Linked DNA regions of Lonchura striata. The protein of the gene in region 2 interacts with the protein of the main gene of each other region in a biochemical or structural test. Links are inferred from orthologs where the notes say so. Each region holds a gene or a part of one and is shown on either strand. Other genes may lie near its edges.

The links.
Region 1: the proteins of ATF3 (region 2) and JUND form a complex in vitro, tested with the Homo sapiens proteins (2 studies listed by BioGRID and IntAct, with this or other methods). The link is inferred for Lonchura striata from reciprocal best matches to the Homo sapiens genes ATF3 and JUND.

Annotation. Positions count from the first base shown.
Region 1 is NC_134630.1:7,010,564-7,017,102, reverse strand, and holds JUND (transcription factor JunD), read left to right. Parts: upstream 1-4,517; 5' UTR 4,518-4,559; coding exon 4,560-5,504; 3' UTR 5,505-6,022; downstream 6,023-6,539. Other genes in the region: uncharacterized protein LOC110478460, read left to right, coding at 6,162-6,289, 6,518-6,539. UniProt on the Homo sapiens protein: Transcription factor binding AP-1 sites.
Region 2 is NC_134605.1:11,855,281-11,862,969, forward strand, and holds the start of ATF3 (cyclic AMP-dependent transcription factor ATF-3), read right to left. Parts: upstream 3,013-7,689; 5' UTR 2,839-3,012; intron 1-2,838.

The sequences.
Region 1 (6,539 bases), on a different chromosome or scaffold from region 2:
CTGATCCCAGCTGAGCACACGGGGGGAAGAAACAGCTCTGGGTGTGCCTCAATTCTCCCCCCTGGATGGATGAAACAGCTGCATTTTGGGGGGGAAAACTGATTTTGTGACTTGTTTTGAGCAGGTTTGGGGTTTGTACAACTGGTTCTCATGGTGGAGCCTCTGCCATCGCCACTGTACTGAAATGGAGTGAAGAACATGCTTTTATAGACTTATTTTTTTAATGTTTCTAGAACTGGGTGCAGTGGTGAGTGAGAATAAATCTCCAGCCTCTTCCAGCCGCCTCCCTCTGTGTGTCTGTGATGCTGCCGGGCCCTGCCCGACCCGGAGCCCTTCCCTGAGCCCTGGGATCAGGGAAAAAACCCTGAACATTCCATTTCCAGCACCGGCCACGTCTTCTCCGTGGGGCTGCTCATCCCAGGGAGCCAATTCCAGGGGATGGGGTGATGTGTCCTCCCTCCTGGAAAACTCCTGTGGCATTTTAACAAAGCCCAGGCTGTGTCAGACTTTCCCTTCCCGACCTGCTCCCTCCCTTGGGATCCCTCCAGCCACAGAGGCTCCGTGTGCTGTGGCTTCCCTGCTGGAAAGGGAAACAGCTCCAGCCCTGCTGGGATTTAAGGTCTTTTCTGGCAGGAGAAATCCCGACTGCAACAATGGGACCTTTGGCTCCAGCTCGGGGTAGAGTCCTCCAAGTGCTCCTTATCTCCTGGGGTCAGGTGATGGAGCTCGTTAAGTTCTGCATTTGTTTAATTACACCACGGGCTTTAGCAGCATTCCCTGCCTGCTTCCCCCTTTTCCTTTTTCCACCTCTGCAGGGATATTTTTGTCCCCCCGCAAAGGGCAGCTGGGTGGCAGGTGGCTCCGTGGAAGGGCGCTGATGTGACGCTCAGCTGTCACTTCGGGCTTTTCTGCCCCAAAAATGAACATCTGGGGCTGTCACTGCCCTGTGGCAGCGCAGGCAGGCTAAAAACAACAACGAAAAAAAAAAAATATTAGAACAGGGAGGAGCGAGATAAAAGCAACAAGCAGAGAGGAGGAAGAAAAGTCTGAGCCTGGCTGCCGGCGTGGGTGGGCGCAGAGCCTGGGCATGGAAAGACCCAGCAAAGGCCGCCCTGGAAACCCTTCCCAGGATATTTTGGTGGCAGTGGAGCTGGTGGCAGCCCCGGGTTTGTGTCTCTGACCGCCCCACGGTGACTCAGAACTTCTGAGCCTCGCCGAGGAGGCAGCACAGGAATAGTTACACACCAGCGACGCGGAGGGAGTGGCTGCCGAAATACTTCAGGGCTGTGCTAAGCAACTAAAAATACACGTCAAACCCTCCTCCTCCTCCTCCTTTTTCCTTTTTAAATCTGTTTTCTTTCTCTCTTTATTTCTTTTTTTTTTTTTTTTTTTTTTTTTAATTCTTGTTTTTGCCTGTCGGGGGCCCCTGGGAGTTCCTCGGGGACAGGGGCAGGTTTGGGGACAGGCACTGGCAGCTGTGACTTCTTGTTTTCCCAGCTCGGTTCCTCTCTCCCTGCCTGTGGCAGTGACTAAGAGGCAGCTTCCCCTGCGTGCCCGGCGAATCTCGGGGTGCAAACCCTGCTGCTTCCCTTTTCCACGAGGAGCTTGGCACGTGGATGCACCCCACGGGCACCTTGTGTCCAGCCCACGTTCTCGGTGTCCGGAGGATCAGCCACTGGTGTCGCGGAGCTGGTGGCACTCAGGGGACAGCCCTGGTGGCACCGCTGGGGACATCAGGAGCCCTGAGGATGCTCTGGTGGCCATGGCCTCGCTCGAGGCTCGTCGTGGCGCCTCGCCCGTGGCACGGGCTCATCCCAAATCCTCGCCGCCCGCTCCGGGATAAATCCAGCCCGGTGGCAGGACACCGTGACTCAGTGGGGCTGAGCCGGGAACGGCGGCTTTGGCCACCCCGCCGTGGGGACGGTGGCACTGCCACCCGTGACCTCCCCACGGCGGAAGGGGTCACTGATTCACGCCCCTCATTAAAAGCTCATTAAGGAGACGAAGCCGCTGGCTCGCCGCAGGCGTGGGGTTCTTGCTTTGGGGACCAAGGGACGCGCAGGATGAGCAGCAGTGGTGGCAGGCTGGCAGAGCGGGTGGGGGGACGCAGCGGGACGAGCCCCGGGGTGCTGCCACGCCGTGCCGGTGGCTCGTGGGTCACATCCCTGCCCGCTGGCCAGCCGTTCTTCCCGGGATGCCCGGGAAGACCGGCTGGCTGCTCCTTGGGACGACCAAAAGCACCGCCAGCCAAGGATTCTGCTCGCCCATGTGGGTACCCCCGTGCCCATGTGGGTACCCCCGTGCCCATGTGGGTACCCCGGTGCCCATGGGGTGCCCCCGAGCCGGGCTGGGACCGGGGGGAAGGGGAGGTTTTTTACCTCCCTGTCCCTCGCCCGCCGGGTTTGGTCGGGATGGAAAGTCTGAACCTGCCGGTCCGGCCGCGGCCGCGCCCCTAATGAGGGGTTTGGAACGGAAACGCGGACGGCGGCGGCTTCACCGGGGAGCCCCCGGGACACCGGGCCTGGCACCTGCGTCGGGACAGGGGGGGACGCGGAGCTGTGTCCGCGCTGCTCCAGCTGAGGATTAATAAACCGCGTTGATTCGGGCTTTAATTAACAGTGATGGCAGTCGTGCCTCAGTTTCCCCGGTGCCAGCGCTGTGTGGAGCGCTGCCGCAGCCCCGTCCTGGCTGTCACCCGTGTCCCTGTACCGTGCCGTGCCGTGCCGTGCCCACGGGACGGACACACCGGGGCGGGAGCTCGTGGCACCGGGAGAACCGGGGGTGGGGGACGGGACTGACACCGCGGATTTATCGCTCTCGTTAGGCGGGCGAGCATCTGGCCGCAATCAGCGCCGGCTCAACGTCAGCCGCCCCGGTGTCCCGGTGTCCCGGGCGGCGCGGGGGCCGCATCCTGCCCGGTGTGGGGGGTTATCGGCGGCCACCGGCGCTGCCTCCCCCCGCGCCGGTGATGACGCCAAGCGCTGACGCCGATCCGCCCCCTCAGCCGCCCGCGGGCTTGGCCGGCCGTGACGTCTGCCGCCGCCACCGCCGTTAACTCCTTCCCCGGTGCCGCCCGGTGTGACCGTGCCGGGACGGTGTAACCCCCGCCCCGGTGAGCCGCGGCTGGCCGTAGGAGCGGCTGTTCCCCGGGGAAACCCCGGTGCCACCGTGACAAACGGCGCGGCGGTGGCACGGCACGGAGGACACGCGGTGGCACGGGGGACACGCGGTGGCACGGGGGACACGCGGGACCGGCGGCTGTGTCCACTGCCCTGTCCCGGTGTGACCCTCACCGGTGGTGGCCCGGCTGTCCCCAGGGGTTCCCGTGCGGCCCCGTGCCGGTGCCTGGCCCCGTGCGTTTATTTATTTATTTATTTATTTATTTATTTCTGTGTCGTGCCCTTTGTACAGCCGGGGCCCAGCTCGGTGCCAGTGCCCGGTGGCCGGTTCCCGTGCCCGCTCCCAGTCCCGATTCTCAGTAGCCAATTTCCATGCCCGGTTCCCATTCCCATTCCCGGTGCCTGGTTCCCGGTGCCCAGTTCCCAGGTGCCCTGTGCTGTTCCCGCGCCCGGCTCCCGGTGTCCCATGCCCGGTGTCCCGTGCCCTGTGCCCAGTCCCCGTGCCCGGTTCCCGGTGTCCCGTGCCCTGTGCCTGGTCCCCGTGCCCGGTTCCCGGTCCCCGGTGTCCCATGCCCAGTTCCTGGTGCCCTGTGTCCCGTGCCCGGTTCCCGTGTCCCGAGCCCGGTTCCCGGTGTCCCATACCCGGTTCCCGTGTCCCATACCCGGTGTCCCGTGCCCGGTTCCCGTGCCCGGTTCCCGGTGTCCCATGCCCAGTTCCCATGTCCGGTTCCCGGTGTCCCGTGCCCGGTTCCCATGCCCGGTTCCCGTGTCCCGTTCCCGTGCCCCGTTCCCATGCCCGGTTCCCGGTGTCCCGTGCCCAGTTCCCGTCCCCGTGCCCGGTGTCCCGTGTCCCGTTCCCGTGCCCCGTTCCCATGCCCTGTTCCCGTGTCCCGTGCCCGGTGTCCCGTGCCCAGTTCCCGTCCCCTGTTCCCGTGTCCCGTGCCCGGTGTCCCATGCCCGGTTCCCGGTTCCCGGTTCCCGCCCCTCCCTTTGTGCCCATCAGCCCCGGCGGGGCGCGCGCCGCGGGGGCCACGTGCCCGCCCCTCCCCCGCGCTGACGTCATCCCAGGGCCCCGCGCGCTGTTGTCCCGTTTACCGCCGGTCGCCGCGGCGACGGCCGAGGGGGCGTGGCCGGGAACGGGGCGTGGCCTCCCCGCCCCGCGGAGGCGGTGCCACGCCCCGTATGCAAACGAGGGCGGGCGAGGACGTCATCTGCAGCCAATGGGGGCTCGGCGCGGTGAGGTCACCGCGGCGGGGCCGCCTATTTAAGGCGGCGCGGGGCGCGCGGCGGCGGCAGAGCCGTGTGCGCGCGCGCAGCAGCGGGGCCGCGGCCGGTGCGCACCGGGCGCCTCCCCCGCCCCCCCCTCCCGCCCCGCGCTCGCCCCGGTCCTTCCCCCCCCGCCCCGGCGCCGTTTCCCCCGCAGCCGGGCGGGGGAGGAGGATGGAAACACCCTTCTACCATGATGATGTGTTGAGCGGCCTCGGCAGCGGCTTCGCCCCGTCCTCCGGCAGCAGCGGGCTCCTCCTGCCTTTCCCCGGCGGCAGCATGATGAAGAAGGACGCGCTCGGGATGGCCTTACCGGAACAGGTGGCGGCGGCGCTGAAAGCCCCCGGCGCGGCCAGCGGCGAGGCGGCGGGGCTGCTGGGCTCGGCCGAGCTGGGGCTGCTGAAGCTGGCGTCGCCGGAGCTGGAGCGGCTCATCATCCAGTCCAACGGGCTGGTCACCACCACCCCGACCAGCGGCCAGTTCCTCTACCCGAAAGCGGCCGCCTCCGAGGAGCAGGAGTTCGCCGAGGGTTTCGTCAAGGCGCTGGAGGACTTGCACAAGCAGAACCAGCTGGGCGGCGGCGCGGCGGGGAGCGGCGGCGGCGCGGGCGGCGGCGGCGGGGGAGGAAGCGGCGGCGCGGGCGAGCTGCCCGCCGCCGGGATGGCCCCGGAGCCGCCGGTGTACGCCAACCTCAGCACCTACCCGGCCGTCAGCTACGCCGCCGATCCCGGCCCGTTCGCCGCGCCGCCGCCGCGGCTGCCTCCGCCGCCGCCCCCGCCGCCGCTGAAGGACGAGCCGCAGATCGTGCCGGAGGTGCCGAGCTTCGGGGAGAGCCCCCCGCTGTCCCCCATCGACATGGACACGCAGGAGCGCATCAAGGCGGAACGGAAGCGGCTGAGGAACCGCATCGCCGCCTCCAAGTGCCGCAAGAGGAAGCTGGAGCGGATCTCCCGGCTGGAGGAGAAGGTGAAGAGCCTCAAGAGCCAGAACACGGAGCTCGCCTCCACCGCCAGCCTGCTCCGCGAGCAGGTCGCCCAGCTCAAGCAGAAGGTGCTGAGCCACGTCAACAGCGGCTGCCAGCTCCTGCCCCAGCACCAGCACCAGGTGCCGGCGTACTGACCCCGGGCGGGCCCGAGCCCGGGCACGGACCGAGGGGTCCCGGGCAAGGAGCCGGGGGAGCGCCCGCCCTGCCCCGGGCGTGGACCGAGGGGAACGGGGGGGAGCGCTCACCTCGCCCCGGGAACGGACCGAGGGGTCCCGGGCACGGACTGAGCGGAGCGGGGGAGAAGCGCCCGCCCTGCCCCGGGCATGGACCGAGGGTCCCGGGCACGGAGCGGGGGAAGCGCCCGCCTTGCCCCGGGCATGGACCGAGGGTCCCGGACTGCGGGGTCCCGAGGGGAGGAAGAAGAGCGATGATCGCCCCCCTCCTCCATCTCCCCGGACACGGACTGAGGGGTCTGAGGGGAGGACCGGCACCGGACCGCGGGCACCGAGCGCTCCCCGCGGACGGAGCGGCGGCGGGTGGGGGGGGTTCCCCGCCGCGCACGGACTGAGAGGGGCCCGGGCCGCCCCCCCCGGGCCCCTCCGCGCCCCACACATTCCAGTGAGGTCCCAGTAAAACCCCGCGACACGGAGAATTGGCCTCTCGCTGTTTGCTGCGCCCGGGAGGGACGGGAAGGGAAGGGGCGGCGCGGGCAGGAAGCGGCGCGGCCGGGTGCCATTTTGGGGTGGGGGGGGGAACGGCGACCGGGGGGGTTTGGGGAGTTTTGGGGGGCGATGGGGAGGGGGGGTGAGGACCCTCCATGGCTGGCAAAGAGGCTCTGGGAGTCCCTGGAGAGGGTGGAGGGCGAGGGGGTCCACGGGGTTGTGGTTAGTGGGGAGGGGGATGTTGTGGGGAGGGGGCGGTGAAAGGTTGGGGTGTCGCGGGGGCTGTGGGGTTATTTGGGCTCTCTTGGGGGGGGGGGAATATGGGCATATTTGGGCTCCCCTGGGGCTGAGGGGGTCCCCATGGGTGAGGAGGTGGGCGAGGGGACCCCAGGGCTGGTCCTGGCTGTGGCTCTGCCCTGCCAGACCCTCTCCGTTTTTTTTTTGGGGGGGGAGGTCACCACCACCCCCCCTGTCCTGGCCCCCAGGGTCACCCCCATGCACCCAGCG
Region 2 (7,689 bases):
TTAGTGCAGGTAAGCAAACAGCTGCCTCAGGGTAGCAGTGTGGGTAAGCTAAATTTCCACATGATCAACTTAGAACTGCACAGGTCCCTGTACGTTACTTCTGGAACCCAGCAAGAAATGTTGGGGTCACGTGCCCTGAGAAGAAGATAGAATTTGCTTGGAGATATCTAAAAATACACTGTAAATCCACACTGGTGCAAATGAGAATAGAACCTGGTTGATCGCTGAGCCAAACACAAAAACCAGAGCAGAGTGAATTAACTGCCTGTTGCTGGAAAGTATCAGGTCCTATTGCAGTCTTCCTCACTTCTTCCTCACCCAGCCACCACGGAAGAGCTGAACATTTCCCAGAGTCTCAGGGTGAAATCCTGGCCCCAGTGAAATCAATAGGACTTTTTCTGTTGACCTCAATGGGGCCAGGATTTCACCCATAGTTATTCAAGATGGGGAAATTATTTGGAACAATTTGTTATTCAGAAAGACCTTGGGAAATTTATGTAATTCTCTTCAGAAAGCCCCTGCTCATGAGTCACATTTAAAGTACTGATACAGTTTAATCCTATAATCTCAGAAAGCTAGCAGTTACTCTTTCCCAGCAAGTCAGAAATGGCCCTATTAATTTCCAGCTGAAGCCCTCCCAGTATTATTTGCCATTTGCCAACATTCAACCATTCAATTAATTTTTAAACAGGCTAATTCCAGATGACACTGAACCCCTCACTGCCAGCAGAAATTTCAGTTATTTTCACTGACTCAGTGTACTTGAATGCTGGTGATGGCTTCATTCAACAAAGTTAATTCTGTACAATTCAATCCATCCAGGAGTCTTAAAGTAACAGTAAAACTGTTTTTCCAACCTCCCAAATAATTAGTTGGGCTAATAATTTTCAAGCTCTGCTGCTTTATTCAATTATTTTTCATTTTAGGTGAACTTTTAATTAAGGTCAGCAGCAGCACCAGAGGAAACCAAGAATGTGCCTGAGAAATTGTGTTAATTGTGGATTTCTAGTAGTTAGTGTAAGTGTACCCCAAACACCACCAAAACCCTACTATAATGGCTTCAGGTTCTCTCACCCACCTGTCATTAGTGTGCAAAAAAGGAGTGGTCAGGTGTCCAGAGCAGGAGAAAGTGTCCTTGACCCTAGGAATTTGCTGCTCTCCTGCCCGGACAGCTCACTGCCTTCCCAATCATCCTGAAATGCACCTCTAATTGCTCCAGGAAGGTAGATGCTTTACAGTTTCTGGGGAACAAATCTGTTTTCAGAAATGTTTTACAAATAGGAAAATTCAATTTTACTATTAAAAAAAAAAAAATGCAACAAGTTGCCCTTCCTTGTCCCAGCTTTTGTACAAATTGTCCCTCTGTCCAAAGGCCATGCAGAGCACTATCTCATTTCCTCTGGCTTTGCGAAGGCTGGGGAAACAGTAGGAATAAGAATATCAAGCCTTAGAGTGTGATTCCGTCGTGGCCTTTCTGATACAATCTCTGTTTACTGTGTTAGACCACGCACATGTTCTGCAGTTACTGCCACTGGAGGTGCTGAACACTTCTCAGCCCTGCACTGCTGCCGGCTCAGCTTGTTCCCGGGCTGAGTTAATGCTTCAGTGCTTTAGCCTTACTTTTGAAATTCTCAACAGTTTTACTATTCGTGGCAATATGAATAGTAAACCTCCCAATTCAGGTAGGTTCAAACAACTCTATTCATTCGTTCTCCCCCTGCTTTTTGTTTGTTGTTTTAAAGATGATTCTTTTAATCTGCAATGACTTTTTACATCTCATCTGCCAAGATTTTAAAATCCAAACAGGCTTCCTAGCCGTGCACTTCCATTAATTAAGTATATGCTTGCTTAATTTTAATATTGAAAGTGACTACTTTCAGTTTTTTCTTGCTTAACAGCAGATGGCTGACTATGTTTCTTGGTTTTATTTCTTCATACAAATTCCTTTTCCTCTGGTGCTGATGCAATAAACCTTGATAACCACTGAGGTTAATCTTAAACAGCCTTAAGAGCAATTACAGTTCACAACCTCTGTGCACGCTAGTTGACCTTAAGCTTTCTGACATCGCACATCGCTCCCAAACCATTTTCTGCTGCCTTCCAGCTTCTCAAATGTTGTTACCAGGAGGAAAATCGATTTCCACCAGGAAACTCATTCTCTGAAAGAAGCCGTCCGTTGTGTCACGCCTGATTTGCTTAGGCAACAGTTCAGCAACTGATCTACTTCACGTCAAGACACCGGGACAGCAAGGAGAGTTGGTATCCCCCGGCTGTCACCAGAAGTTCCCGGTCGGTTTACGGGAACATCAGCGACGACTCTACGCGCGGCAGCGCCGGTTTGTCGCCGCCTGGGCTGTCCCGCCGCATCTCCCCGTCCCGGTGCCCGCGGTGCCGCCGCCGGCCGCCCGCAGCGCCGGGCGCGGCCGCTCCGCTCGGGCATCCCGCGGCTCCCGGGAGCCGGGACCGTGCCCGCCGCGGCCGCCACCGCGCGGTGCCGAGCGGCGCTGCCGGCCCGGGGACACCGGGGCTGGCCGGGCACCCCCGGCGCTCACATCTGGCGGCAGCCCGGGCAGGGGTTCCCCCAGATGTGAGCGCCGGCACGGCACCGAGGGGCTCCGGCGGAGCTCGGCGGGGCCGGGGGCTCTCCCGGAGCTCACGGCCGGCGGCGGAACCACCGCGCCCGACTTCGCCCGGGGCGGCGAAACTTTTTTCCGGCGAAGCAGCGCGGGTCCCCCGGCGGGCATCCATCCCTCCGCGGCGGGACAGCCCTCCCGGAGCTCAGCCCCTCGTCCCGCCGGCACGGGCAGTCCCGGCCGCTCCTCTCCTGCTCCCACCTACCTTCCTGCCGCCGCCGCCGCCGTCCGGGCAGGAGGGAAGGGGCTCCGCAGCCCCGCCGCGCCCGCGCTGCTCCGCCGCCTCCCGCGGGAGCGGCTCCCTCGGCTCCCCGCGCCTCTGCCGCTCGCCCGGGTTGCATCACCCCCCTTTTATAGCCGAGCGGGCAGCGCTGGTATTTACTCTGGCGGCGAGTCCCTGGCTGATGTCATGCTATTAATAGCCTCTCCGAAAGAGAGGGAGGAGGGAAGCGGGCCGTGGCGGTGATGCAAGGCTTCCCCGCCGGCACGGCACGGCACGGCACGGCACGGCACGGAACGACACCACCACCGCGCCGAGCCGAGCCGGGCCGAGCAGCATCCCTCGGCACCCCGACAGACCCCTTCTCCTTCCGTCTCCACCGTTCTCCCCGTCATTTATTTATTTATTTCTATTAAGACTCCGAGAGTTTCTTTCTCCGGGCTATTTTACTTCTGACAATAAATCAAAGTCCCTCTAGCGACAAAAAAAAAAAAAAAAAAAAAAAAAAAAAAAAAAAAAAACAAACAAAAAAAACTGGTAATTGTGTATTTTTCGAAGGGACTGACCTTTCTCTAGAGGAAAAAAAACTGTTCATGACCCCCCCCCACTCCCCGGTTTCTCTCATTCTCCCTCCTCCTCCCCTCGCTACTTTAGATGACAGCTAAAAGTTCCGTTCACATAAAGGAGAAAGCTTCGTTTTTACTCTGAGAAGAGTAAATTAATAAAATTATAGACAGCTAAAAATAACACTGTTTGGGGGTTTTGTTTGTTTTGTTAGGGTATTTTTTAAAACTTTTCTTAAAACACAGCAGCATGCGATTTCCTTATAATCTCATGAAAAACCAGGGAATTCCTACAGCAGAGAGGGAAATACAGTTGTGGCTGTGGTAAAGGGGTTTTTGTTTAGTTCTTTTTTTTCCCCCTCTGGTTTGTTAACAGACAGAAATTACCTTCTAACAGCCTTCAAAGTGCTAGAAAATATGATGTTTAAAAAACAAACAAAAAAAATCCAAAACAAAAACCAAAACATCAAAGAAAACATTTAGCTGGGGGAGACACAGAAAGCTTACAAAGACAAATGCATGCAATCATCCAGTACTATAATAATTAATATATAATATATGCAAACTTGTTATTAAGCCAGTCTTCAAGCCTCTGCACTTGACTTGAAAAGACCAGGACATTTCATGCTTGAGTACATTGTATTGTAAGTAAACCAACATGAAATGGATACCTTAATATATAAGATGCATATCCCAATCAAGTGCTCCAAATTGTTGATTAATTTTATAATGTTCAATATATCAGTTTTGATAATAGGTAATAAGTCTTGAGTGGTATATTCTGGTATATTTTTATTACTTGGAGCATTTTGTGAAGAATACAAATTAGTAGTAGAATAGTAGTTTACAGAATTAGTAGAATAGAGACTAGTAGTTTGAAAGTCCTTCTGTATCTCCCTTCTGTGTGCTTGTGATGGTCTGGATATATATATGTGTGTGTATATATATATAGAAAGATAGATGATATAGATATATATATAGATATAGATGATTGATATAGATATAGATGATATAGATATAGATATAGATATAGATGATATAGATATAGATAGATATAATATTGGCCACATAGTCTGGAGTAATAAATTTAGTTTTTTTTAATGTCCAAGTGCCAGTAACTTTGCAAAATTAACACTCCTATTCCGCATTTAGTTGCCTGCTCTTGAAAGAAAAATCCTGATCTGATGGGAAAGGAAGGAGTCTGGGGTAGTGACGTGGGCTTCCCTCCTGTGGAAGGTGCAGTCGCAGCCTGTTCTCTGCAAACAAAGAAGTGCATTTTGTCAGGGCAGCAGTGAACTCCTCTGACCTACCTGGCAGCACTCCATTTACAGCTCCTGTGAGCTGCAAGCTTTTTTTCTTTTTCACTCACCTATAGAGAAATCATTCTTAGCTCTATCAAAACATAGTTATTGCTGCATTTTTATTAATCTAGATAAATCAATGTCAAGTATAATGCCAGGCAAAAACTTTCAGAAGGGTCTAGAGAAAGCTTTTCAGTTCACCTTGTTACAGCCTAATAAGTTCTTTTTACTTCAGAGGCACAATTTTATAATTCATGCTGTGCTCAAGGACAGCTGGCACTTTTTCTCAAGCCTAGAAGAAAAAAAAATTCCTCTCAAGCAGAAGCCAAATGTGGAAAATTTCTTCCCAAAAGATAGTTGGTTGGAAAATTTTAAGCACTGTGGAAATGTGTTAACAACATTGGTTTTAGTGGCCAAGAACAGGTGTCTGCTGCAATTATGACAGAAATTTATCAACTGTCTGTCCTTATTTATTTAGGCAGCTGTATCAGAAGTGGGAATGTATTTAAAGTATTTTCAGCTAAACAGAGCAGTGTTGCAGAATAATGGAAAAAAAAAAAAAGCAGTTCTCCCCTTCCGTGTGGGTAGAAGTACCTTGGAAATCCAAGCATTGTTATCCAGTTGTGGATGGTCACTGGCATCTACTTGTTTGCTACACAATGCTGGTCCCATTACTTCCCATGAGCTGCAGCCAGCACTAAAATCTGACATCAAACCAGTTGTGTTCATTCTTGAACTTGTCCTGAAGTGAGCCAGCTCCTCCCTGCAAAGCAAACAGAGAAATGTTCCTGTGCGCATTTGAGATTAGGCCACTGAAACATGTCCTGGCTTGAGTCTTCAGTGAAAAAAGAAAATGAAACCACAGTGAAAAATAAACCCAGCTCCACTGTGTTGTATAGGTTTTATCCAGATTCCTTTTGAAACCAAAGTTAAGCTAATCTCAGTTGGATCATACCCCAGTTAAAAAAAAAAAAAAAAAAAAAAAGTAAAATTTAAGACTATCAGGAAGTTAAAGTAACACCCAGTACAGCCACCAGATACTCTGATGTTCTTGCCAGTTTAATTTTCCATCTCATAAAATATCTTTCATTTGCCTCCCCATGAACATTTACCGGTCCTTTTCCAATCCATGTCTCTCTTTCATCACAAACTGCAGGGGACATATCCCCTGAAACAGCATTTTTTTGACAGAGGTAACATCCACGATCTTAACTGCTGTTTCTCTTAAGCCAGGTACAGCAGCTCATCACTCAGACTGGTGTGTACTGGGTTCTTTTCCCTCTGCAGAGAAATCAGGCTGAATACCACCTCTGGCGTGGTCCTTGCAGCCCTCCAGCAATCTCCAGTGTGCAGAAAAGAATTCTTTCCTTTATCTCTTTCTGACCAAGTCCTGCCTCCATATCACTTGGCACTACTTCACACACTGTGGATATTGGATTAAAATTAAAATATGGCTGTCTCATTATTAAAAAGAGCTACAGACATACAGAGGAACAGACCCCCAGTCTCACAGCACAAACTTTCTCTTGTCCTAACATTTATGCTACTGCAGGACATCAGTCAGAGCAACACAAAAAAAATCTCCATGTCCCATCCAGATCATGTGCTAATTTCTGGTCACACAGTTCCATTAAACCTGTTCAGTCTGATGAAAATATAATGAGATTTAAATAAATCAAATGTGTAGTGATAACATGAGTAAAAACTGCCTCTCTGTGTGTTTTGTGGTTTGAATTGTATAAAGTTTTGAAATTACTGTAACCCTGACAAGACAAAACTTTCAATGCACAGCACATATAAGAGAAACAGATTTCCATAATTCAGAGTTATCATGTGGTAAAATCTGCACAAAATCAGGTTTTCTGACTCTGCCTGAAATATTACTCTCTACTTCTGTGATGGGAACTAACCTTCATAATCATTTTTGCTATGTGTTACATTCAGGTCTGAATCTATGTGGCAGGACTCCTCTGTTCACCAAAACATGCAGGAATTTTGAGATAATTTTCCCATCTCACTGTACAAACACCAGGGGTGAAACTCGGGACTAGTTTTTCCAGCATGTAGGTTGTTACTGCTGGAACTATGGGAGCAATCAGCAGCAGAAGCAGCATCAGCCACCTTCACCCTGCCCAGAGTTTTTCAGCAGCTGTCTGGGGACTCTTTGAGCATCTGTGGGCTACTTCCATAGGTTTCTCCAAAAAGGGAATAAAAAACATCCAAGCCTACAGGAGCAAGGGCAAAATTCACTCTGGAAGAGCTGGATCTCTATGGACTGAAAAGGTCCAAAAATGGAAGTTAAAACCACAGGGTTAGAAAACTGACTTTCACTGAGACTGTATGGCAAACGCTGCCACTCTCTTATATTTAATACCTCTCAAGCAGATGAACAGATAAATATATGTATTGTGGAGGGAAATAGGTGCTGTGTTTTAACAGCTTTTATTCTTTAACACTGAAGATAAAATTATTTTGCTCTTTGTTTTTCTCTCCACAGCTTATCTTTCTTTCCTTACTGCCTTCTCCATCAATAGCCATTTACTCTTAATTTATTCTCTCCTTTAAAAATCCTATTCCCTGCTCTCTTTTGCTTTGTTTCTTAAGTTACATTTCCCATTTCTTTAAAACAGCAGCTTCTCCTTTTATTTTGCCACTTCCCTGTTTCTACTCTTCTCACTTCTCTCTTTTCCCTCCCTGTATCCTTGGATTTCATCATTCCCCTTTTTTCTGTTCCTTTTTTCCTAGAAACTTTTCTCCCATTGATCCTTCTGGTTCTGCTTGGAAGCTTTCTAAATTTAAATAATTTTAAATTTCTCTTTTGATTTCTTTCATTTTCATTTTTGCTTCTCCTTTAATGAGATGAAGGCACTGATAACAAAATTACCGCTGGGTAAGCAACATGTATATTTCAGGACCAGATTCTGGGGCACAACATTATTATGAATTTTAGTGCAACTTTACTAAATTAAAGT